Linked DNA regions of Drosophila melanogaster. The protein of the gene in region 1 interacts with the protein of each later gene in a pairwise test. Each region holds a gene or a part of one and is shown on either strand. Other genes may lie near its edges.

Evidence for each region. Proteins that work in one complex are often made in the same cells at the same time.
Region 2: the proteins of ben (region 1) and Rnf11 interact in a two-hybrid assay, tested with the Drosophila melanogaster proteins (one large-scale study listed by BioGRID).
Region 3: the proteins of ben (region 1) and Iru interact in a two-hybrid assay, tested with the Drosophila melanogaster proteins (one large-scale study listed by BioGRID).

The regions. Positions count from the first base shown.
Region 1 is NC_004354.4:13,993,268-14,001,103, reverse strand, and holds ben (bendless), read right to left. Parts: upstream 4,760-7,836; 5' UTR 4,581-4,759; intron 4,489-4,580; exon of another isoform or gene 4,307-4,488; intron 3,010-4,306; 5' UTR 2,944-3,009; coding exon 2,488-2,943; 3' UTR 1,299-2,487; downstream 1-1,298. Other genes in the region: Ste12DOR (stellate 12D orphon), read right to left, coding at 259-265, 326-826, 884-894. UniProt on the Drosophila melanogaster protein: Catalyzes the covalent attachment of ubiquitin to other proteins.
Region 2 is NC_004353.4:312,246-321,987, forward strand, and holds Rnf11 (ring finger protein 11), read left to right. Parts: upstream 1-2,677; 5' UTR 2,678-2,934; intron 2,935-4,147; 5' UTR 4,148-4,171; coding exon 4,172-4,264; intron 4,265-7,203; coding exon 7,204-7,554; 3' UTR 7,555-9,140; downstream 9,141-9,742. Other genes in the region: Zip102B (Zinc/iron regulated transporter-related protein 102B), read right to left, coding at 545-1,053, 1,112-1,397, 1,503-1,601.
Region 3 is NT_033777.3:9,003,673-9,009,595, reverse strand, and holds Iru (iruka), read right to left. Parts: upstream 3,141-5,923; 5' UTR 2,883-3,140; coding exon 1,740-2,882; 3' UTR 1,566-1,739; downstream 1-1,565. Other genes in the region: CG11983 (uncharacterized protein), read right to left, coding at 1-632, 691-882, 966-1,010; Prosbeta3 (proteasome beta3 subunit), read left to right, coding at 3,525-4,142; CG11980 (uncharacterized protein), read right to left, coding at 4,346-5,087, 5,145-5,457, 5,521-5,545. UniProt on the Drosophila melanogaster protein: E3 ubiquitin-protein ligase that mediates E2-dependent, 'Lys-48'- and/or 'Lys-63'-linked polyubiquitination of substrates. Recognizes miRNA-empty Ago1 and triggers its degradation via polyubiquitination independently of the Bag6 complex.

The DNA of each region.
Region 1 (7,836 bases):
CGGGTATCTGATAGTCGCGGAATTCCATATACGACTATATCTGTACGACTATAGCATTCTCTCTTGTTAAACATAAAATTGAATAAACTTACCAATCAGTTACACTACCAATTTAAATAAAAGTCAACTCGATTTATCTTTAATTTTAATTTGAATCATTCGTTTTTATTTATTTTTTTTAGAAAAAAATTAATTATATTATATTCTTTGGCTTGGGCGATTTGAGTTGCGTCAAAGCTCTTTGGTGCAACCGAAAGCCTAGGTACTGCAAGTGCAAGCGCTTTGTTTAGAAAACAACCAGGACTATATTCGGAGAATTACTTACCGTGGGTCGTCCAGGGGCGATGTCAAGTTCGGCAGCATCGAGAAGAAGATGTCCGGGAAGCTGGGCCCGAACATCGCTCCGTCCAGCTGTGTATCAGACTTCGGATGAAAGTTGCTTTTACACCGTGGGCAGTGGATCTTGACGGTTGACTTGCCCCATACAGCGCTGACGCCCACTGGCAGGGTGTTCTGCCTATCACAGGAGATATTGGGACACGATCCAAAATCTCCTCGCATATATTTTCGGTGCATAGCAATCAGGCCACGCTCTGACCTGATGTATCGGGCGTGAATCATGCCGTACCACTTCTTTTCATCGCCGTACAACAAGCCAGAGGAACTATCGATCACCGGCTTCAGGATCACGTCCAGTATCTCGCTGAAATACTCCAAGCCCATCTGGTTGAACGTATCCTGCACGTAGTCGGTGGGCACGCGGCAGAGGAACTGGTTGCCCTTGATCCCGAGGAACCAATCGATCCAGCTGCTGTTGTTGTTCTGGCTACAAGATTTTACTGTGACTTGCTATAATTTCTATAGGAAAAACCTAGTTACTTACGAGCTCGACATGTTGCCAGTTCACTTGTTCAGAGAAATATGATTTGTAGACTTCAAAGTCATCGTCTTCTTCTTTGAGTTTTTGACACGTGCTAAAAGGCCTGCCAGGACTCTGTCATGCCCTTCCAGATGGGAACTCTAGACTCGAAAATTCGTTTTATGTTCGGCTGGCATAATAAGTATTAGTTCTTTTATTTCATAATATGTTATGCATACGATATTTTATGTGTCAGTTGGGCCAAAAACAAATCAAATGTCATTGTTTCGACAAGGCAGCATCGGCTGATACTATTTATAAATAGTATCCAAATCAAAATCCTATAAATTCAGTAATTTTTTAACACTTAAATTAATTAATAAACTTACCATTCAGTTATATTACCACTTAACTATTTAAATAAAACACAACTCGGTTTATTTTTTATAATTTTTATTTGAATTTTTCGTTTTTATTTATTTTTCTTAGAAAAAAATTAATTAAAATTAAAGAAAACTGAATTTTTATTTTCGCTTACTCTTTGATTTATGGTTGCTTTTCGGTTGCTATTGTTTTTTGGATTATCCTTTAGTGATTTCGGTGACAAACATTTAATTACTGTACACAATTTTTGTTGAGAACTGCACTTGAAATTTTCACGCAATCAAGCCACTACTTTTGTTTTTCTTTTTGTATTTTTTTTGTATAAATATATAGTGTATGCATTCATTGTATTTTGATCATGTATCATATTTTTGTATATTTTTTATATATATATTTTTTATTTTTTTTTTTTTCAAAAATTACTAATAGCTTAAAGGCTTCATTGTTTGGTTAAAAAAAATTGTTTTCGAGTAAAAACTATTTATCGTTTATCAAAGGGACTCTGACACAACCCAGGCAAAGCTCAAGTATCAATCGAAATGGTGAACTCTTAGTTAAGAAAAGTAAAGTCTACAAGTTGGACGATCACATCTTAAATTTTCTGAAACACTGAAAATGATACAATCAAAATTCTCTATTTTGAATTGACATTTAAGCCGAGTTTTCAAATGACGAGTTAAAGGAAATCAAAATCCCTTCTTGTTTGCCTTTCCAATTGATTTATCATATCTGATGCTACATGTGTTAATGGTTATGGGTTGGTTATTTCAGTTACACATAGAATTATATACGGCTATATGTATATAGACACCAGAACCCTCGAACAAATCAATAGAAACGACTAAAACCAATTACTGTTTTTTTTTTTTTTTTTTTTTTTCGTTTTTAGTTTGTTTCGGATACATGTATACGTCTTACATAAAGAATGCTTTCGCTATCTCTCCTCCATTTCGCCGATCGCCCCGATCGATTGGTTGAAAAAAATATATATATTAATATTTTATATGTATATCCCGCCCCAGAAGGTTCGAAAAAAAAATGTGTTCTTAAATCGTTTTTTTTTATGTTTGCTTCCTTACTTTTTTCTTATTTTATGTTTTCTTTCGTATGTTTTAGGTTTTTCTGGTTGCTTTTAAAGTATTCAATTTACCCACCCGCCCGTTCATGTCACGCACCCACTTTCTGGAAAAACGCCGATACAACTGACGGATCCGCTTTCTGACTTTCCTCCTGACCTCGGGCGTTCAGTCTTCGACGGCATATTTCTGGGTCCACTCGCGGGCATTGCGAATGGCCTCCGCCTCGTTGACCTTCCACAACTCAGCCACATCGTTGGCCAGCGGATCGTCGGGATTGGGTGCACTGAGCAGTGCCTGAATGGATAGCAATATGGTCCGGATCTGCAGGGCTGGACTCCACTTGTCCTTCAGCACGTCGAGGCAAATGCGGCCCAAACGATCGATGTTCGGATGGTAGATCTTCGTGATGAAGCGCACTTTGGGCGCTGACATTGGATAGTCCTCCGGTAGGAACAGCTCCAGCTTGAACACGCCGCCCTCGAAGGGCGAATCGTTCGGTCCGGTCACGATCACATGGAAGTAACGGGCATTGTTCTCATCGGGAATGGCATTGATCCCAGGCACTGGCTCCTGCATCAAACGTTGAGTCTCCTTGATGATGCGACGTGGCAGGCTGGACATCGTTTAGCTGGTTCCTTTTACGCGGTGAACTGGAAACGCGGGTTGAGTCTGGACCTTCTCGTTGAGCTGCAAACGAGATCGGAGTGAAGTTAACCAATTAAGTAGTTCCTCGGTATCATCCACTATCCACTCAACGTTAATTAAGACTATAAATTAGTATCCCTAATGTTTACAGTCGTGGTTTCAACTGTGAAATTAAACTAATTACTAATTTAAATAAGGGCTCAACTACATGTATCGGTGAAATAGTAGCATTAGTAAATTGGAGTTTCACTTGGTTTTCTTGGGGAAGAGCGTGGCAAGTCAAAGAGAATTTTCCTTTTTGCAGCTCAAGGTCGTTCTTTATGGGGATGCGTGTGTGCAGGGTTGGGTGGATTTTGGTCTGATACGTGGCTTTCACTTTCCCCAAGAAAGTTTTACTACAGAATTTAGCATGCCACAAAGATGTCTCTATGTGGCTAAAAAAAAAAATAAACTAATTCAAAATATGTTGTATATTTAAAGATGTTTTCAAATTGTAGTACTTAATAATATTTATATTGAAGTATATGAACGGAATTCAAAGTTATTAACTTGATTCTGGATATCTAGACTATATTGTAAACCAATATTTTCAATATTTTCTGGATTTATTTCCGTTACACTTTTTGCGAAGTTCAAAATAAATTTCTGCTTGTGTAAGTCAAAGCCCACCCACTATTGCCAACTCCTTTAGCGTGACCTTGCGGCTCCTTTAACTGTTTACATTTCCCAGACACACGGAAAATCAAGTAAAATAAAGAGGAGAAGGGGAAAGAAAGACGCAGATAAACCAGAAACAAAAGGCAATAAATGAATGCCCCAAAATTTCCAGAAATTGTATTGCGAAAGCAACAACAACAGCAACGAAAAACACTCGAAGCAAACAAAAGAAATTGCGTTATTAACGCGAAAACAGCAATAATTTAACCATAATGTGCGGCGTTTCGCTGTTTTACCAACTTATTGATTTCCCTTTTGGGTGACAAATGCACGTAGTTCCGCAGAGGAAGAAGAAGCAGATTGGACAGGAGGAATGCGGAGGGGGAGAAACGGGGTGAACCGCTTGAAAAATCAATAATGTTGGCAATTAAACTACAAAAAAAAAACCAAATAAGATTTTTCTTTTTTACAAGCAACAATTTCGCTTGCATACGCACACACACAGACACAGCGAGTCACGCACCCACGCACACAGACAAAATGCAGACAACGCGCACGAAAAAGACAAAGGCGAAAAGAGAATATGCGGATGGGTGAGACAAAGAGGGCGAGTCAAGAAAAGAAGAAAAGCAAACGCCGCTTTTTTGGCGAATTTAAGTTAATAGAAAAAAACGGCGAATACTTGGTGCGAACGCCGCAATTATTATTTTTCACACACACACACATATATATTCGATTTATCAACTTTTACGGCTTTTTTCTTGCTCTTCTTCGATATTATATTAAATTTTATCTGCTGCCTCTGCTTCTTCTGCTGCTGCTGCTCCTGCTTTTTTTTTGCTGCTGTTGTTGTTGTTGTTCTCACTTTGGTATTTTTTCGGGCATTTACAACATTTTTGGACAAAAACAATGGTTTTTAGATAAAGTATGCAACTTTCGATAAAACACAAACTCACATCGTAACAGCGCCAAGTTATTGCTGAACTTTATTTGCAGTTATGGCCGATAACTTCGTTGGCAAACTGATAAAATTCGATTTTGCAGGCAGCTCCACCACAAAAATTATGAATGTCGAACACACTCGAAAAAAAATGTAGCCGTTTGGTAGTGTGTGTGTGCGTTGCTGTGACTAACGTGCGTCTGTGTGGCGTGCGTGTGAGCGGCAATGTCAAAATGACAGGGTTGCTAGGGTGCCTAGATGTGAATTCAATTTTTTTGCAACACGTTTGCACCTCCTTCTCAGTTTAATTTCAGTACAAATATATCTTTAAATATTTTCTTTGCTACTCATCTTGTTTTTTATCCCATTTTTCCATTTTTGCGCAGGTAATTTTATTGTTCGCACTAGTAAAAACGCATTTTCGGTGACAACTCTAGCGCTTAGCGGCTGTCAAATAGGACAGTGTTTCATAGCAATCAGCTCTTCGGCACGCTACAACCCAAGGTTTTGGAGCGCTTAGCTTTTTTCTGTCAGAAATTTTGATTGGAAAATTGGCGGGACAAATCCAGTTGAAAGAAACACGAAAGAGAAGTAACAAAAAGTGTAAGTTCCCGGGAATAAGCAATAAATTTAGTCGGGATTTATTTAATCGACGACTTTGATCTTTGTTTTCGTTGCTTAAAACCAATGCTTTGCATTTTTAATATTCATCAGATGTAACCTAACTTCATACCTAAGGTAAATACATCTAAAATTCTCGAGAAATTTGGTCATTTATGTCAGCACTTTATAAAGCGATATTTGAACTGCATATTAGCACTTATTAATATGGTTTTATGTTCTTTTTAACATCATAACCATGTGTTTCCCAAAAACTTTTATCACAATAAGACTTATAATAAAAAAAAATTGCATGCAAATTAAAATAAATTTTATTTCTTTAGTATTATTCGATAGCAAATTAATGATTAAAAAAATGATTGTACATAGGTTTCGTTATTTAACAAGTCTAAAAGGAGCCGGTACAGGATTCCAATCAGACACGTGCAAAAACATAAACCCAAAAAGCGAGATAGCAACAACAACAAATTGTCAATTTACTGTAATCAACATTTATGCGTTTTTAAAAAGAGAGGCTGTCCGAACACACACACACAACTGCGCACTTGCACTCACACCCACACACCTCGAATGCAATGCCCAATGGACGCACAAGAAGCCGAAATGAGCAACAACAAAAACCACAAGGCGGAAGGCAGAAAACTAAAATACAAAAAAAAACAAGCGAAACCTCTCGCTCGCACACACACATGCTATTTACCATTCGTATTCGTTCGATTGCATAGGCCGGTTGCATGTGTGTGTGCGAGTGTGAGATAAAAACAAACACCAACTGCAAAAGGGCAACAAAACCAACAACAGCAAGACAGCCATAAGCATTACACACACCGCACACAAACACACACACACACGTGCGATCTCCGTTTTTAGGCTGGCCAAACCAACAACAACGACTGTAGTCCAGCCCACAAGTGAGAGCGAGAGAGAGCAACCTGCCTCTTTTCTGCTTTGCTGTTTATCTGTTTTTCTGCTGCAACTGCGCTGCTTTTCCCTACGCAGTGCACGTGTGTGTGTGTGTGTGTGAAAGTGTGTGGGTTGGTGCGAGAGGGGATGAAAGAGCAAGAGAGGGCGGAACGGGGGCGACCTTTATTCGCTCTTGAGCTGCAGCTGTTTTTAGTGCCTTCCTCTATGTATTTTTACGCTCGATATGGCCAAATTCTAACCGCTACAGCTGATCTTCAAAGGAATGTGATAGAAAGTGAGGGGGGAAAGGGGAGAAGAAATTGATAGAGAAGACGAGGTGAAGAGTGTAAGAAGACATTCAAATCGAAGGACGTTTTAAAGTTCTGCTACAAAGTGAAGATTTAGTCGAAAAAGAAAGACTAGTATAGCCACTTCTTTAGTGGTAGAATATAATGAAATTCTCTTGGTTTTCGTACAATAAGTCATTGAAATAATAGATGTATCTATGTACATATGTACATACATATATCGGAATAGAAAACCTCAATGCATTTTTTCCTCTTTCAGAACACCGAGAAATGATAGAAAAATTAACTAAAATGGAGAGCGATTGCTTTACTATGAAAATGTTGCAAAATCGACAAGTCTATAACTTAATTTTGCAATTGAATGGGATTTTATCATAATCATATCAGAGAGGAAATATAATTTGGTAAGTAGTATTATTACTTAAACAACTCACTGCTCCTTCAGTACTATTCGTATTCAATGTTTTCCCATTTTAATGGCCGACGATTTTCTATCATAGTTACAAAAACATGGCGTAGTTCACTAGCTCTTTTTCCTGACCTGTAATTCCCGGTGGTGGGTTGCGTTTTATAAAATTCGCATGGTCGCTTGGTTATGGTTTATCCATTTCTTACATTAATTTAAAAAGAAAATATTTAACATGAACACAATATCTTTTTATATAAGCTTTAAGTTAGTTGAAGTCCAACAAAATAGTTTTAGGATGTATTCGCTTTTATTCAATCGTAAATAACCATTTATTAAGCTTACAGTTTATTCCATATATCAAAACAATATTAATATTATTAAATTTGATTATGTTAAAAAAATGCAAGTTAACAACTAATTAAATCAAAAACGATGTAAAGAAAGACTTTTATTTAAAAATAAGTCATTTGTTTTAAATGCTGCAAAAGTTAAATTGATTGCAAAAATAATCAAGAGCTTAAAGTACCGAGTAAGTTGGGGAACGTAAAAAATGGTATTTATTTGTGTTGGGATTTTTTGTTTGTAATATTCAAAACGCAAAACTTTGACAGCACTTCAGCTGGGGGGAAATAAATCTCAGTATTGTTTGGTAATTAGCACCTGAGTTCCCCGCCTCCCCCCCCCCTCATTTCCTTCGAAACTTTCTTAGAATTTCTTATTAGCAATTTTTTTTTCATCCTGACAGAGAAACGCGCAACATTCGCTTTAGCAGCATGTTGCCAAAGGAAGGAACTTTAGCAACATCTCCAATCAGAATTTGTTCTGCTTCTCTTTCGCCTGCACTTGCAAACAAATGCATTTTAAAAGAGCGTAGTGCTCTTGCTTTCGAGTCGAGAGGCCTACTCTTGAGTCCAAAAACGCAACGAACAAAACGAGCAAAACAAATAATGCGAAAACACAAACAAAAAGAAGCGGCGCTTTCCTTTTGCCTTCTTTTTGCCATTTTTCTTGTTCTGTTTTGTTTGTTGCTG
Region 2 (9,742 bases), on another chromosome or scaffold:
TAATCTAAGGCCGTAACAGAAGACGTTATCCAGTAAACCAATGGTGACATTGCCAAGCTGCCTTTAAACCGTCTCTTACTTTTTACTACCATTCTGAGAACGTAAACTATCCATTGTTATTAAATACAATAAAAACATATATAATTATAAATTAACATATAGTATATAGGAGCCGGAGTCAAAATTCTGATGCCAATGAATTCGGCGCCGACTTGCGTACTATTCCTGCCTGCGCAAGTCTAAATATTAAAGTAAAATATTTCTTGCACTACTTTTTGACCTTCCTCATTTTGCTTGGTTTACTCACAATACATTCTCGTATAAGGCCTCTCAAATCACTCAACTTTACAGAAAGCTGACAAAAGTTGACGTCGGTACCAAATTTGACTTTCATGCGACAATTCATTAAATTCAAAATCTTTGTGCAAAGCACTTAATGTTAATAATTGTATATCCGAGAAATTAAACCCAATATATTTATAGCTTAATATCCCTTAACTTTTACTTCATCTTATTTGACAAAAATATATGTATTACTACATTACTAGTGATTATGTCCAAATGTTATAATTAGGGGTAGCAGTGCGCCGCAAATCAGAATTACCAATTCACTATATTTTAGTGCTTGAATACTATTGCTTCCATTTATATCATTCGTAGCAACACCTCGAGATTCCTCTAGCAAACAATAATCATGCTGATCGCTTTTCGTAAATCCCCCTTGGGTAAGCTCTGGTAAAACATGCACAGTTGCTACGTACAAAAATGTTCCAGCGGAGAATAGCATAGCTATACCAGTGGCATTCACGGAATTTAACGTGTCCTTCTGCTCCTGTCCGATCCCAAAATACGTTAAAATAGTCATAAGGGGAGCCGACAGGGAAAATAAGACTAGGTGTCTGCGAATTTGATGTCTGTCTACTTTTTCGTGCAGTAAGAATGTCACTAATCCAAATGCTGCTGGTGCCTTATGAAGCATTATAGCTAAAAATACAATTATCTCAACGTCTTGATGGCTAGTGGTGGCAGCTGCTCCCAATGCAACTCCATCAGCTGCAAAAGAACAACAATTTTTAAGATATGGTGGGTACACCAATATAAGCTTCTTTACCTGCGGCATGCACAACCAATCCAAGAGTTAGTGTGGCATTGTTTTTTTTATTACTTCCAACATTACTCTTCCGCTGAGAGATGTCCACCAACATCATGAAGACAAATCCAAGCACAAGAGAAAGTCCAATGGTCTGTGAGTAATCTGGTTGCTCCGGAACTGATGTCCGTTTTTGGGATTGGCCACTCCCCACATACAATGATCGAATGCCCTCCGGAATAATAACAACGAGAGCAGTTCCCACTAACAATCCAGCTCCCAGCACAGTGACACATTTTAGCTTTTCCTTTAATGACATTTATTAAGTAGAACAAATTAATGCACTAGTGGTGCTCCAAATACCTCACATTAAATTTTTTTTGTATTTAAAATGCCATTGTTTAGTACCGACCTCGCTTAATTTCATCAGCATCGGTATGCTCCCTGCCAAATAAGACCCCACAAGCATAACCAACACTAATAAAATGAGAATTATTGTCTCCTCAGCCATGATTGCCCAACTTAATTTTAATGAGCATAATACCATCAAAGCTACATGTTTTTGCCAACTCAATCGCTAGAGATGAGCCTTATTAACATTTTAACAACGCATATAGCAGCAACCAACTGTGGAACTTATACCATATTCTACAATAACACTTCAACCAAATTAACATCTCATACCACAACAGAACTATACAATTTGTTTTCTTCTCATCCCGTTAAAACTCGCGATCCTACAGACGTACGAAATTTTCCCAGACTGTGAACAATACCTTTAAGTTATTATATTTCATGTCTTACCCACTGGCTTATTATACAAACTTATTGAAAACGGTTTTAGATGGTCCGATACAAATGTATGATACCATTTTTAATTTATATATAATATATATAAAACATATATAATATAATATAATATAATATATATAATATAATATAAGATAATATATATAATATAATATATAATAATATATATAATATTATATAATATAATATAATATATATAATTTATATATAATATATATTTAGAAATAGTACCAAGCATTCTCAACCGACTTTTAACCGATTTTTTATTTGCTCTCATGTGAAATTTAAAAAAAAGAAAAAACCTTTAATGGTTTTAAGAATAATTGTTCGAATGGAGCTAGTGAACCAAATTTTCTTTAAGCTATTGTTTATCGGAAAATTTAACTTGTTCGCAAAACCTATAGTAGTTGCTCTACCTTTTACTGGTTATGATCGGTCACCAGTTAATTTTAATATTTTAAATAAATTCTGTAAATATATTAAAGTGTGCGGTATATAGTATTTTCCTGGTGTCACCGTGTGTTATCCTACAATAATTGCTCATTTGGCTTATCTATATATCGTCAGAAATCACATAACATAAAAAATTCTAGATCCTTATAATTTATTTATTTAATAAGTTATTTAGGGATACATCACTCTCTCGTACTACATGGAGGGTTGTATTCCGTATTATGATTGTATAGCGCAACGTGAGAATGTAATTTATCTCAGTGCACAACGTGTATTACACCATTTACATAAACAGTTTGGTAACCTAAGGTCATACTATTAACAGCACTGTTGATTTTGGTTTATTTATTGTCAAATAGGTAAAAAGTCTAAGCATATGGAATAAATCAGGCTTTATTAAATCGAATCTAGTCTAATTTCAAAGAAAGTCACATTTAATGTTTTTTTTTTTTTAAATCAACTAACTAAATTGTTTCTGTTTATTATGAAAGTTGTGTATACATATGTGCATTTTATATACATGCATGCGTACTTATTAATTTAAGATTTCTTGGGGATTGGTACTAATTGGTACTGTATATGTGAGTTTTAAACGTTTCATTATTTTGCTAATTTCCGATAAACTTATAAAATTAAATGAAAATAGAATAAGTCGTCCAAGGTTTTTAAGAATAGATGGATCACGAATATTTGCACCTTCATCTGGCGTTCAGAATTGGCAAAAACAGGATTCTTCCAACGTTGAGTGACGAATCGTAATCAAACAAATACATCCATATAATTTAATGAATATCTCGTTTTGTAACACTATTTTTTTATTAGTTACTACAATTTGCTCAGTGCGGAGTAAAGGTAATGCATCAATAAATAAACAATCGTTGTGTGATGTACAAGTGTTCATCGCAAAGTTTAAAACGAGCCAAGCCAAATCGCGTATGAAATAGTATAATAAATCTTTTAGCGATTGGTACTTCCCCTTAACAAGCGTGTGTATAAATATCCTTAAAAGTAAAGTCCAATGTCAATGTAGTGTAAAACATACACGATAAGGATATTCAACAGATTGAAAGTATCTAGACGTCCATATGAAAAAAATATCATCATATCATATATCAATTTCCAGTTTTTAAGGAATGGAAAGTTTTCTTCAGTTTTTTCCGTTAAGAAACAAAAATTTTTTTAAGTAAAGGTGTAGAAATATTAACTATAACAGATCCTAGATTTTATATCATTATACGCGGTACTCGTTTTTTTTTGAATATTTTTATGTCTTGGCAATCTTTTATCGATAAACAACACATCGAGATTTTGCAGATGTGGGGTGATATGAAGTCAAAAAACATATGTTACCCATCAAACTACGATGCAAGTTTGGTAGAAAAACACTATTTACCTTCGAGACCAATTTTGCTCCTTGGCCCAACCAGTTTCCACTTTTTATGTCTTCTTTAGTTTCGGCCAGGTCTATTGGCGGCAGGTATTTCCTTAATCCTTGTGGCCGCACAACTTTCAAGATTTAAGCTCTATGTGGGAGCTGCATATAGAGGTTTTGGTTTCCCAATCGGAAATTTTTGCAATCGTGATTTTTCTCGTTCGCTAAAACAAAAAAAAAAAGCTTTTCTTTGGCTCGGTCGCGTAAATGGTCTTCTTTGATCTTCCTTTTACTTTGTGTTTGTTATGTACAACTTTTAAAAAAAAGCTTACACTGCATTTAAATATAAAGTTTTACAACTTAACTAAAATACAAGATAAAACGAGCCGTATAAATTTTCTTTACGTGTGCATATATTTCAGTTAAATCTTCGAAAAACGCATGAAATGGGTAATTGCTTAAAAATTAGCACTTCAGATGACATTTCACTTTTACGCGGCAATGACAGTCAAATCAGCGGGACACAGCCAGTGTATCATGTAAGTACCAATGCACGGGTGCGAGTTTTAACGATAATCGTCGATTTAAAGAAGTCCAAAATTTACTAATTTGTAGTCTTTTAATCTTCAACAATTACATTAAAAATGTTTTTTATGAGTTTATCGAAATATTCTTGGTCAATAATTATTTTTAAAGCAAAGGTTTTGTATAAAACCTGGCCTTCGAAACTAATTTTTTGATTATTCTTAACGAAGATATTTGCAAAATAATGTATTTTTATACTCAGTTTTCTCTGTGACAGTTTCAAAAAAATTTCCCGAAAATAAAAGTGTTGAGAAGAAAAATTTTTCTAACTTGTAAGATACTATTAAATAGTAAAGTAAATGGCATCGCTATAAATTTTTGAGGAATTATGGATTACTTGGCAATCAAAAAAAAGGAAATTATTGGGCATTTTAAAGATTTCTTGGGGATTGGTACTGTATATGTAAGTTTTAAACGTTTATAAAATGAAATAATAAAAAATAAATAATAAATGAAAATAAATAAAAACGTCCAAGGTTTTTAAGAATAGATGGATCACGAATATTTATACCTTCTTCTGGCGTCCAGAATTGGCAAAAACAGGATTCTTCTAACGTTGAGTGCCGAATCGTAATCAAACATCCATAGAGTTTAATGAATTTCTCGTTTTGTATTATTATTAGTTACTACGATTTGTTCAGTGTCGACGAAAGGTAATGCATCAATAAATGTATAACCGTTGTGTGATGTATTAGTGTTCATCGAAAAGTTTAAAACGAGCCAAGCCAAATCGCGTATGAAATAGTATAATAAATCTTTTAGCGATAATATACTTGCAGTACGAAGCTTAGCTATGTATTGGTACTTCCCTCTAAACAAGCGTGTATATAAATATCCTTAGAATTAAAGTCCAATGTCAATGTAGTGCAAAACATACACGAGAAGGATATTCAACAGGCTGCAAGTATCTGGATGTCTATATGAAAAAAAAATCAGACATTTTTTTAAAAGAGTGCGCGTGGCAGTTTTGGGAGGTTTGTTGTGGTCGAAGCAGAATGTTTTTTGTCAAATCGATAAAAATTGTGGACGTGGCCGTTTTGCTTGCTATGAGAGCCCACAATTGAAAACAATCTGTCTATAATCTTCATGCTTTATGAAGATTGCTTTCATATACAAAGATCGGTATGGCCAGATCGACACGGCTATTAATTCGGATCAAGAATTAATATACATTATAGGGTCGAAACCGCTGTCTTCTGCCTGTTACATGTTTTTCAGCGAGTAATTTAACTCAATTGATTTCTGACGGCAGAGTGCGCGCGAGAAGCAAAGCGAAGCCAGAAGCTATGAGCAAAGCAAGAAGATGGCAGAGTGAGTGCTTTGCGAGAATCGAGCAACATTGCTGTCTTTTAGTTATTAATGTGAACGTGATGGATTCGGACGAGGAATTTTTTGCATCAACCACAACTTTTAGCTTTCTGTTAATAAGAAAACTGGCGTCCAATCCCTTAACTGCAATATAAATGGAAAAGGCTAAAAGGCGAATTTATTTATGTAATCACTAACGAAACCACTCAGAAAGGTTCTTTAATGTCTACTTCGACTTTTGATTATATTAAAAAAAAAAATTAGAAGTCGTTTGATGAAGAATTGGGCAACCAAAACAAAAAAACATGTGTTTTGAAAATAAACGGTAATAAAAGCACAGTATACAACATCGTACCAAAGACGATAGAATAACAAGATGCGTAACGGCCATTCTACATTGGTTTGGCACTATACAGTCAGTTTTTTGGGGACGTCCAAAATTGCTCTCTTTCCGCTCGCTTACGCTGAGAGCGTAAGACATCTAAAAATTGAATTGGCTTGATTGTGTGAGTAAAAACAAGAGACGAGAATGCGTTTATGTGTGCGTGTTGTGCTAGAAGACGATTTTCGGGACGAAATCAATTCTTATCGAAGAAACGAATTTACATAATTGGGGAGTTTTGGCCAATTTCGTAGCAATATGATGAAATTGCGCGCTTTTTAAAAATATCAAATTGGAATATAACAAAAAATAAAAAAACTGAACAACTGAATCTAATGTGCATTTTAAATAATAAAATTGGATCATTTATATACATCATATTAAGTCAAATGACTTAATAAATATACTAAATAATTAAAGCAAATACAAAGGAAATTATTATAACTACTGTAATTTAAAACATAAATTTTCCAGAAAGAAGACATTACGTTGAAAAATAAATATTTCATAAAAATAATACGTAGTAGAAAATAAAAATTTATAAAATAAATAAAAATATGAAAACTGTTTACTGCAAAAGTCATATCTTGAGGCACAAAGTGCGGACACAAGCACTCAACAATGCCTTATTAAAAATTATTCACACGTCGCAAGCTGAATACTCTAATGACATGTATATATGACATATATATATATATTCTAATATAAAGTCATTTTTGAAATTTTTTCGTGATGTTATGATTCGGCTATTACTATTTCTAAGCTTTATTTAGAAACGTTAAGGCAATGCAAACCAAGAATTTCTCGCATGGTGCCAATTGATCAAAAATAATATAGATTTAAAGTCTAAGATCTTCTAAGGTGAAGGGCATATTTTGTCAAGTTTACAATGCATGAGCATACGTGTGCACACATACATTTGTCTGCTATCACTGTATGCGCAGAAAAGAGCTATTTGCTGTAGCGCTCTCCGCTCTCGACAAAAATTCCAGAGCCTGGAGCCACCTCTAGAGCCACGGCGAAAAATTCGTGTGCCAAAAAATCGTATTCTTTATCGATTGAGCTCGCAACTCGCTTCGCGCAATGTGGCATCTAGCCCGTCTCAACGTTCACAATAATTATAATATTATAATAATCTACATTTTGATTTAACGAATTTGAAATAAAGTATATCCATTGGATTTAATGAAACTTTAATTTCAGCAGGGAGAGCATTATCAACGAGAATTGTACCCTTCCACGTCGTCTTCGACAACGCTAACACCATCTTCTAACAATCGTCAACTTTCCGATGAAAATCAAGTGAAAATTGCAAAGCGAATTGGATTAATGCAGTACTTGCCAATAGGAACATACGACGGGAGCTCAAAGAAAGCACGAGAATGTGTTATCTGCATGGCTGAATTTTGTGTTAATGAAGCCGTACGTTATCTACCTTGCATGCATATTTATCATGTTAATTGTATAGATGATTGGTTGTTGAGAAGTCTAACTTGTCCCAGTTGTTTAGAGCCTGTTGATGCTGCCTTGCTGACGAGTTATGAATCGACATAGCGTTATAAAAACATTAGCTTACAATTTTGCTGCTGTAATGTGTTTTGGGATAACAAAACCTTTGCTTACCAAGTATAAATTAATCTTTTATATATTTCAATTTTATTCTTTATTATATAAATTTGTTATTGTTTTATTATCGAAACATGTTATAATATTTAATTCATTTTAGCGATAACCAAAATCATAATTGCAATACTAAGGAGCTGAAGAATTTGAAATCCAAATTAGTTTGTGTATATATTGTAGTGTATCTACCCTCACTATAACTCTACTCTACATATATATAAGTAACGTACATACATTGTGACACTTTGTTGCAAACACAAATAAACATAATTCACATCAAAGACCACATGCACTTACATAAACACTCCAGCCAATGAAATACGATCTAACGCTTATACATAAGCCGATCGCGGAGCGTGAGAATGCTGAGCATGCACTTAGCAGCTCAAGTGGTCAAGCCATACATAACATATGTATGCCTTCTGCATACACATGTATATGTATATACAATATATACAATATGTACAATATGTAAGAACACCATGTACGGGTAGCTGTACCCAAAGACAGCAACATAGGATTCATTCAAATAAAACGATTCAAACGGAACAGACGCTCTGAGCTATTCAATATCTATTACACTGAGCTATTACTTATTACTTATTACATGGCGACCGTGACTTGGTCTCGAGTCTGCCTCTGTGTTGTGCCTCTGTGTATTGTGATTATGTATCGTGTATTGTGTTTGTGTTAAAAAAAAAAAAAAACAACATTTTGTGCCTATTATATTCAACGTGTGAACACACAAACATAACTAAAATGTACTTGTAGTACTTGGACGCATTAAATGCAAATATATGTTCAATTGAAACAAACAAAGCACAAAAACACACAAAAACACACACAAAAACGCACAAAAACACGCAAACACAGCACACACAGAAGAACAAGCGGCGATTGATGGCAGACGAGCCACAATTCGCCAATGCACAACCACAAGTGCAACGGGACCAGCCAACGCTAGAGGAAGCGTTGCGGTTAAACAACGCCGATGGACCACGCCCACTCACAGTAGCTGAGTACCGGGCACGGCAGGAGAAGAAACAACTACGAAAGCACAAACGCTCAGGACGGAGGATTAAACTACTACAACAACGCCGACTGGTCAAGGAAATGACCCAGTTGGCAAAAGAAGAATCAGCACGACAACGCTACCAAGAGCGTTTGGAAGCCATTGAACAAGAACTTCGCCAAAGTGCGAAGACACGCAAACGGGCTGCTTAAATGCAAATGCCCCAATTTGCCCTAGAATTAAAATAAACCCAAGCCGAGGCGGGAAACCGCTGCTTGGAAATACTAACAAAACTTTATGCTAGGCTTTATACTAAAAAATGTGGTTGGAGATTTTTTTTAAAATCCTATTGAATTGTAAATTGTGACTTGTGAGCCAACCACATTAGCACTATCAAATTTCCATGTCTCTGCCACTGAGTATATATACTCAGTTGCAAATAATTTGTGTAACTTTAACAACTTTAAATTTTCTATTTCAAAATAAAATTTTACATTTTAAATTTAAATGAATAACATTTTAAAAATGGATTAAAAAAAAAATAACTTTCTTAAAGAGAATTTTCTTTCTAAAAATACAAGAAAAAATAGATTTTTATTTTTCATATTATATATATAATAACATTATATATAATACTTCAAAAAAAAACGTTTCATTGAATATATAAAAATATTCAACACAAATTAAAATAAATTTTCTCTTCAATTTAAAATTAGGCAAATCAAATAAATATGATTATAGATGTATACAAGTACAGCGATATTCATAGAACTATTTTAGGGCGCCTCTATACGCGCATTTTTGTTTCTGTCCGTTTTACTGCCTACTGCTGGCTCAATATTAACGCGGAAGAATTACAAGAAATAGCTAGCCGCGACGAAGACGTCGCAATGCATTTTGAGAACGTCATAAATCCAGACGTCTAGGTAGTTTTGATAGACTAAATAAATATTCATACACAAATCAAATAAAAATTAGAAATAAAATTAGGAAACCTAATAAGTAAAACAATTATATTACATGTCATTAAAATTGAATGAGCATTAAAGATAATTCCATACCGAAGATAGACCCCCTAAAGACAATCATTTCGGAACTGTCTACTAT
Region 3 (5,923 bases), on another chromosome or scaffold:
AAGCGAACTAAACAGGCATTGAGACGCCTCCTCTGGGCGTAGAGTTCGCAAGGCCAGCGACTCTGGCGAAGATCCACCTCGCTGTGATGCCCAGTTGGTGGTGTGGCGGTTGGGGATGTGGGTGGATGCTCAATTTTTTCAGGTAGTTCCGCATTCGCTATTTCCTTTAGTATGGCCGAGATCTGCGGATCGTCAGTAACAGCAGTTGGTTCGATGCCGAATATATGATTAAGATCAGTAGGCTCTTCTCCAAACAACATGGCCAACTCCTGGGCCACAGCATCTTCGGTTTCGGAGTAGAGAGATTCTTGATTGGCTAGGGGCTTATTCTCTGGGGTCATGATCTTACTACGGCAATGTGGGCAATGCGTTTCGTTCTGAACTTCCGACCGTTCGAGACTAGCCTGAAACATATCGATTTTTCTACGCAGCTCATAGCTATCATCATCGTAGTCCTCCGTAGGAGTTATGTGGCCATTCTGGGCTTCTATGACGGTTGTTTGTGTGGCCTTATCCACCAGACGGTGGTCTGTTTTTACGGGCACAGCATCCTCTCCAGCTGCATGCTGCATTTGTTCAAATAGAATGTTGGCCAAACGGCATTCCTGAGTGTTCCTACGTACCGCAGCTATCTGTCGGTATACAACTTATATGAACATGGCATAATATATGTATCTGGGAACCTTGTACCGTTTTGACCATGGCTCTTTGGTAGATCTGTGCCGCCATGGAAGCCTTCTTCGCCTTGTTCTCCAGTTGCTCCAAGCTCGCGGGAATGCACGCCCAGGCTGTGGGCTTGTGGCGATTACGGGATTGGTTGGCCCAGGCGCAGACATTCTCCTGCAGCTGGCGCTCCAAATAGAGCACATATTGCTTGCGCACCTACGCAAAATAAACAAAAAAGTTCGGAAATAAACAAAAGTCTTCCCCAACAAATATTACATAGTTGGCTTGCTAAGACATACCACGTCGGTGAGCACCACAAAATCGTTACTTCCTTCGTGTGTCATATTATTTCGTTGGTCACGGCGTTATATTCTTCACTTCAATTGACTTTACGCATTTTGGCGGAGTTCTTAAACGGTTAAGTCAGATTTTCAGTCAAATGGGAATTTAAACAATTTGACGGAGCTGCCACCCTGTGAGGAACATATGCTTCCCGGAATAGTATGACCAGACCGTGTGAGCCAATAAGCTTCCTTTAGAACTTTTCGAAGTTTACAACCAGGATCAGACGAGACAGTAAAAAAATAAACAATAAAAATTGAAGTGTATCCACCTGAAAAACAAAAACACCGTTTACTTGTTGTCAATAAAGTTTAAGAATAATATCAAGTTTGAAGTCTAGACTACAATAGATGTTTATTTTAGAAAGTATTTTAATTTTACACGTTCGAGCTGCATGTTATTGAAATAATTCATTAAAGGAATTTCTTGAGGCAAGCACAGAGTCAGTTCCTATTTTGATTATGTAAATATACACGACACGCATATATGTACAATACAAGTTCCATTACAAAGAAAAATAAGCAACTACGCGATACGATAAACGAGAGTTGATTTTTGCAGAGCCAACGGAATCGTATGTCCCGTTTTGTTTATTACAAATCGTTATTTTGAACAACAACAAAATTAAGCGTGAGGAGAAACTATTATAAATATATATGCGGCCAATATTTGGCTTAATTTTGAATATCAATCGATCATCGCTCCACTTCGATTTAGCATCGCCCTACCAGCTAGTCCAGAAACATGTTGTCGTCGTCAAAGGTAAAGATGTTGTTGCGTGCTGCCTGGGCGGGATTAGCATCCGGACGTGTTCGGCCGCCTTCCGCCGCTGCCTGACTGGGATTATTAGCCGGCGAGGGATTGTCCGTTCCTGTGGCGGTGCTGGCCGATCTCCTTTCGGAATTACTGCCATCGGCCGCCATCTCTGGTCCGAAGGCATCGAGCATGACAAATTCGTCGTCCGCATCGTTGCCATCGTCTGCCAGTGACTTGCGGCATATGGGGCAGGTGCTGTGCAGGTTTAGCCAAGGCACGATGCAGTTCTCGTGATACAGGTGCGAGCAGGGCAGCTTGCGTACCGTCTCGTCAATCTTGAAGTCGTCCCAGCATATAGAGCACTGGATCTTGCGGTTTACCTCCTCGGCATTGATCTGCACATTGGGTATCTCGTTTATGCGCTGCGCCGACAATGGCGGCGGTCCTGAAGTTTCCATTTGGTTGAGCATTTGGGTGACAATGGTGTCTAGTCCCTCTCGGCCCCACGCATAATCTCCCGGGTTTCCCATGAAGAACATGTGCGAGTTACCGCCGCCGCCTACACCTCCTCCACCGGGTCCAGTTACTATTTCGGCCGTGGCGCCGGCCAGTGGCAGGCTCTGCAGAAAATCAAAGAGAACATTGTCCAGTCGGTCCAAATTTGCCGGACGCACTCGTCCGCCGGCGGTCAGGCCGCGGGCAGAGTCACTACCCGAGGGACCACCAAAGCCGCCTAGATGCAGCACGTTGCTGTGCCGTCTGTTTGGCTCGATGGTAATTTCCAAGTTGGGCACATTCCGCATGTTTAGCAGCGACACAATATCGTTACGCAGCGACTCAACATTCACCTGAGATCCGCTCGATGAGCTGCCTCTGCTCAGGGTGTCGTGTGAGCCAGAAGAGCCACTACCGCTGCTTCCGGATCTGGCACTGCCGGATGCTCCAGCCGTCGAAGAATCCATCTCCGGCGCATTTGCCGGCAGCTCCTCCACGAAACCGTTGGCGCACAGCGGACAGGTGAAGTCTGAGTTGGGAATGTTGATCTCCACGTTGCACATGTGGCAGAAGAATCGCTTGGCTTCCGCGGGGCGGTCCTCCACAACCATTGCCTCTGCCATCCTGCGGTAGGTTCTTTATTTCCTGGGCAACGGCTCCACTGACGATTGTGCAAGACTGTCGCCTTCCGATGATGTAGGCTGCTTGCGGCTGTAGACGTTGATGTGACAAGAGGAGGACAAGGTACACGCGCCTAGCTTTACCCGGTCATTGGGTTCAGTCGGAACAATTGGGAGTTTAAGGGATAGAATTTAATTTTTCTATAAATAAGGGCCCCTTACAAAGTGGCCTTTGCCGCAGAGGAGAATAAATCCCAACTGATTGACGCGGCCTGGTCACACTGAAAGCTAATACTGGCATATTAACATTTGGATCTTTTATTACTTCAAAAGGATCCAAATGATAAGAAAAATGCGTTTTAACATTCGCGGAGATATTTTTGCATTTTTAAACATTTTATAACTTTAACTTGTGTTTAAAAATACTAATACTTAAAAAATACTTAAAAAACGCGATTCTTTTTGAAATCTCTTTAGTAGGCGTTGCCAGTTCTATACAGCCAGTCAGTATTAGCCCATCTTACACTCGCAGTCTGGCAACGCAGAGCAGAAACAAAAAGTCATCTTCCCAGGCGGCTTTTAGCATTTTGCAAAATTTCCATTTTTCTGCTGATTAAATTGAGCTAAGCGAATAGCAACGACACCATGTCGATTCTAGCCTACAACGGAGGATGTGTAGTGGCCATGCGCGGAAAGGACTGCGTGGCGATTGCCACGGATCACCGATTCGGCATTCAGGCTCAGACGATCTCCACGGACTTCAAGAAGGTGTTCCACATCGGCCCACGGATGTTCCTCGGGCTCACAGGCCTGCAGACGGACATCCTTACTGTTCGCGATCGCCTGATGTTCCGCAAGAATCTGTACGAGACACGCGAAAACCGTGAAATGTGTCCCAAGCCCTTCTCGGCCATGATGTCCAGCTTTCTGTACGAGCACCGCTTTGGCCCGTACTTCATTGAGCCGGTCGTTGCTGGCCTGGATCCCAAGACCATGGAGCCTTTTATCTGCAACATGGACCTGATCGGCTGCCCCAACGCACCCGATGACTTCGTTGTGGCCGGCACCTGTGCGGAGCAATTGTATGGCATGTGCGAAACCCTGTGGAAACCCGATCTCGAGCCGGACCAGCTGTTTGAGGTCATCGCCCAGTCCATTGTGAACGCATTCGATCGCGACGCCATGAGCGGTTGGGGTGCCACCGTCTACATTATCGAGAAGGACAAGATCACGGAGCGCACACTGAAGACCCGCATGGACTAGATGATGTTAGAGGTTCCCTTGGTGATTTTGTATACATTAACCGAAATACACATACAAATAAAATTTGTTTAGGTACAACATGTGCGTATTTCTTTTCCGTATAACGTAATAACACCAGAATTAAATGCGTAATAACACCAGAATTAAATGCGATCTAATTATTGTTTTTCAATTTCAAAAGCATAACTTTAAGTCGTATTATATTATTGCTCTTCTGTCCACTCGGTGGATTTCTTGGCCAACAACATGGCAGCCTCCTCGGTTTTTGCCCCGCCAATAAATCCTGTGTGATGGATGAATTCGAGATCTTTGATGCTCGCCTTATCGCATAGTTCATCGTCCATCAGTCCGCGCCAAGGAGTGGGCAGAAATTTGCGGCCCAGATAGCTGCCAGGCGTCACTGGAACTCCGGCCACTCGCCAACTATTGCCGCTGTTGAAGACGACCAGCTTGGGCACACCCTCCACCTTGTACTCCTTTTCAAGATCGAACAGATGAGACTTCCAGGGGCAGAAATTCTTCAACACAAGAATCTCGCCGGTGGGATGGACGTTCTTGGCATTTTTAAGAGCCTCTCGTACGTGATCCCGGGCTGGAATCCAGGAACATGATACCTCCACAACGTTGTCCACAAACTCACGACCTGCAGTATCCATCGCCTGTCTGAATCGGTCTTCGATGTCTACGCCAGTTTCCTGCCAGGACGGATTCAGTTTGGCAATGCGGGCAGATAGATGAGTGGAGATTTTGTATATAGGCTCAACGCCCTCGAACATGGGCACTCCATTATCAATTGCGTCCAGTTCGTTGATAAAATTCCTATAGATCTGAATAAAGGCCGTTTGCAGGTTTTCCGGTGAGAGTTTAATTCCCTTTTCGCGCTGCAGGATGCTCTGTATAACACGCTCGCCATAGTGACAGTAGACCAGTCCAGCACTGCTTAGCCTGGAGGGGATTACATTGGATTATACGGGTTCATTTACGCTAACACCACGAATTCACCTGACAACGTTGTAGTCCTCGCTTACATCTGGGCGAACGGAACTAAAAGTCTCCTTGAAGGTTATTTGGTGGTGATCGTACAATTTCTTGGCATGATCATAAACGCCGCCCACGTCGACAATTATATCGCACTTCTCCTTCAAAGCCTTGTTGTCCCGACTGCGGAAAATCTCTGCGTTTTTGTACTCATCCAATTGCTTGAGCATAAAACATGCGACCAACTCGTCGCAGTGAAAAGTGCCGCTGTGTGTGCCGATCCAAAGGGGAGAGCGTTTTGGTGGGGTAACTCCAGTCATTATAGATAGTTTTCCTGCTTCAAAACATTCAGTTAAGCCCAGATATTTCAATTAATTTCGGATTGTAACCAAAAACTTACGAAAACGAGGTAACAATCGGAACATTAGCGACGGTCTTTTCCTCCATTTAATATCGATATCACAAGTTTTTATAACTTGATATGGCAACACGCGTTCAGCTTAAATATATAAAAACTGCAGCGTGGCAGCACTGGTAACGGTTTTTTAAGCCGCAAACAATTAACAACATTTTAATTAAATACGTTTTATAGGCAAGTTGGATTTTAATATAATAATATATGAAAATTCAGTGAAATCTGTACCAAGCACTGCCAGCTTATCAAAGAACTTCGCCCCACACCAATCGATTGCATGGGCGTTTGTGCTTATCCAATAAATTAGCATTCGCTTGCTAATTTGTAAAACAACAACTCATAGGGACCACATCAATTTTTTGGCTGCTTAGTAGAGAATTATTGGCTG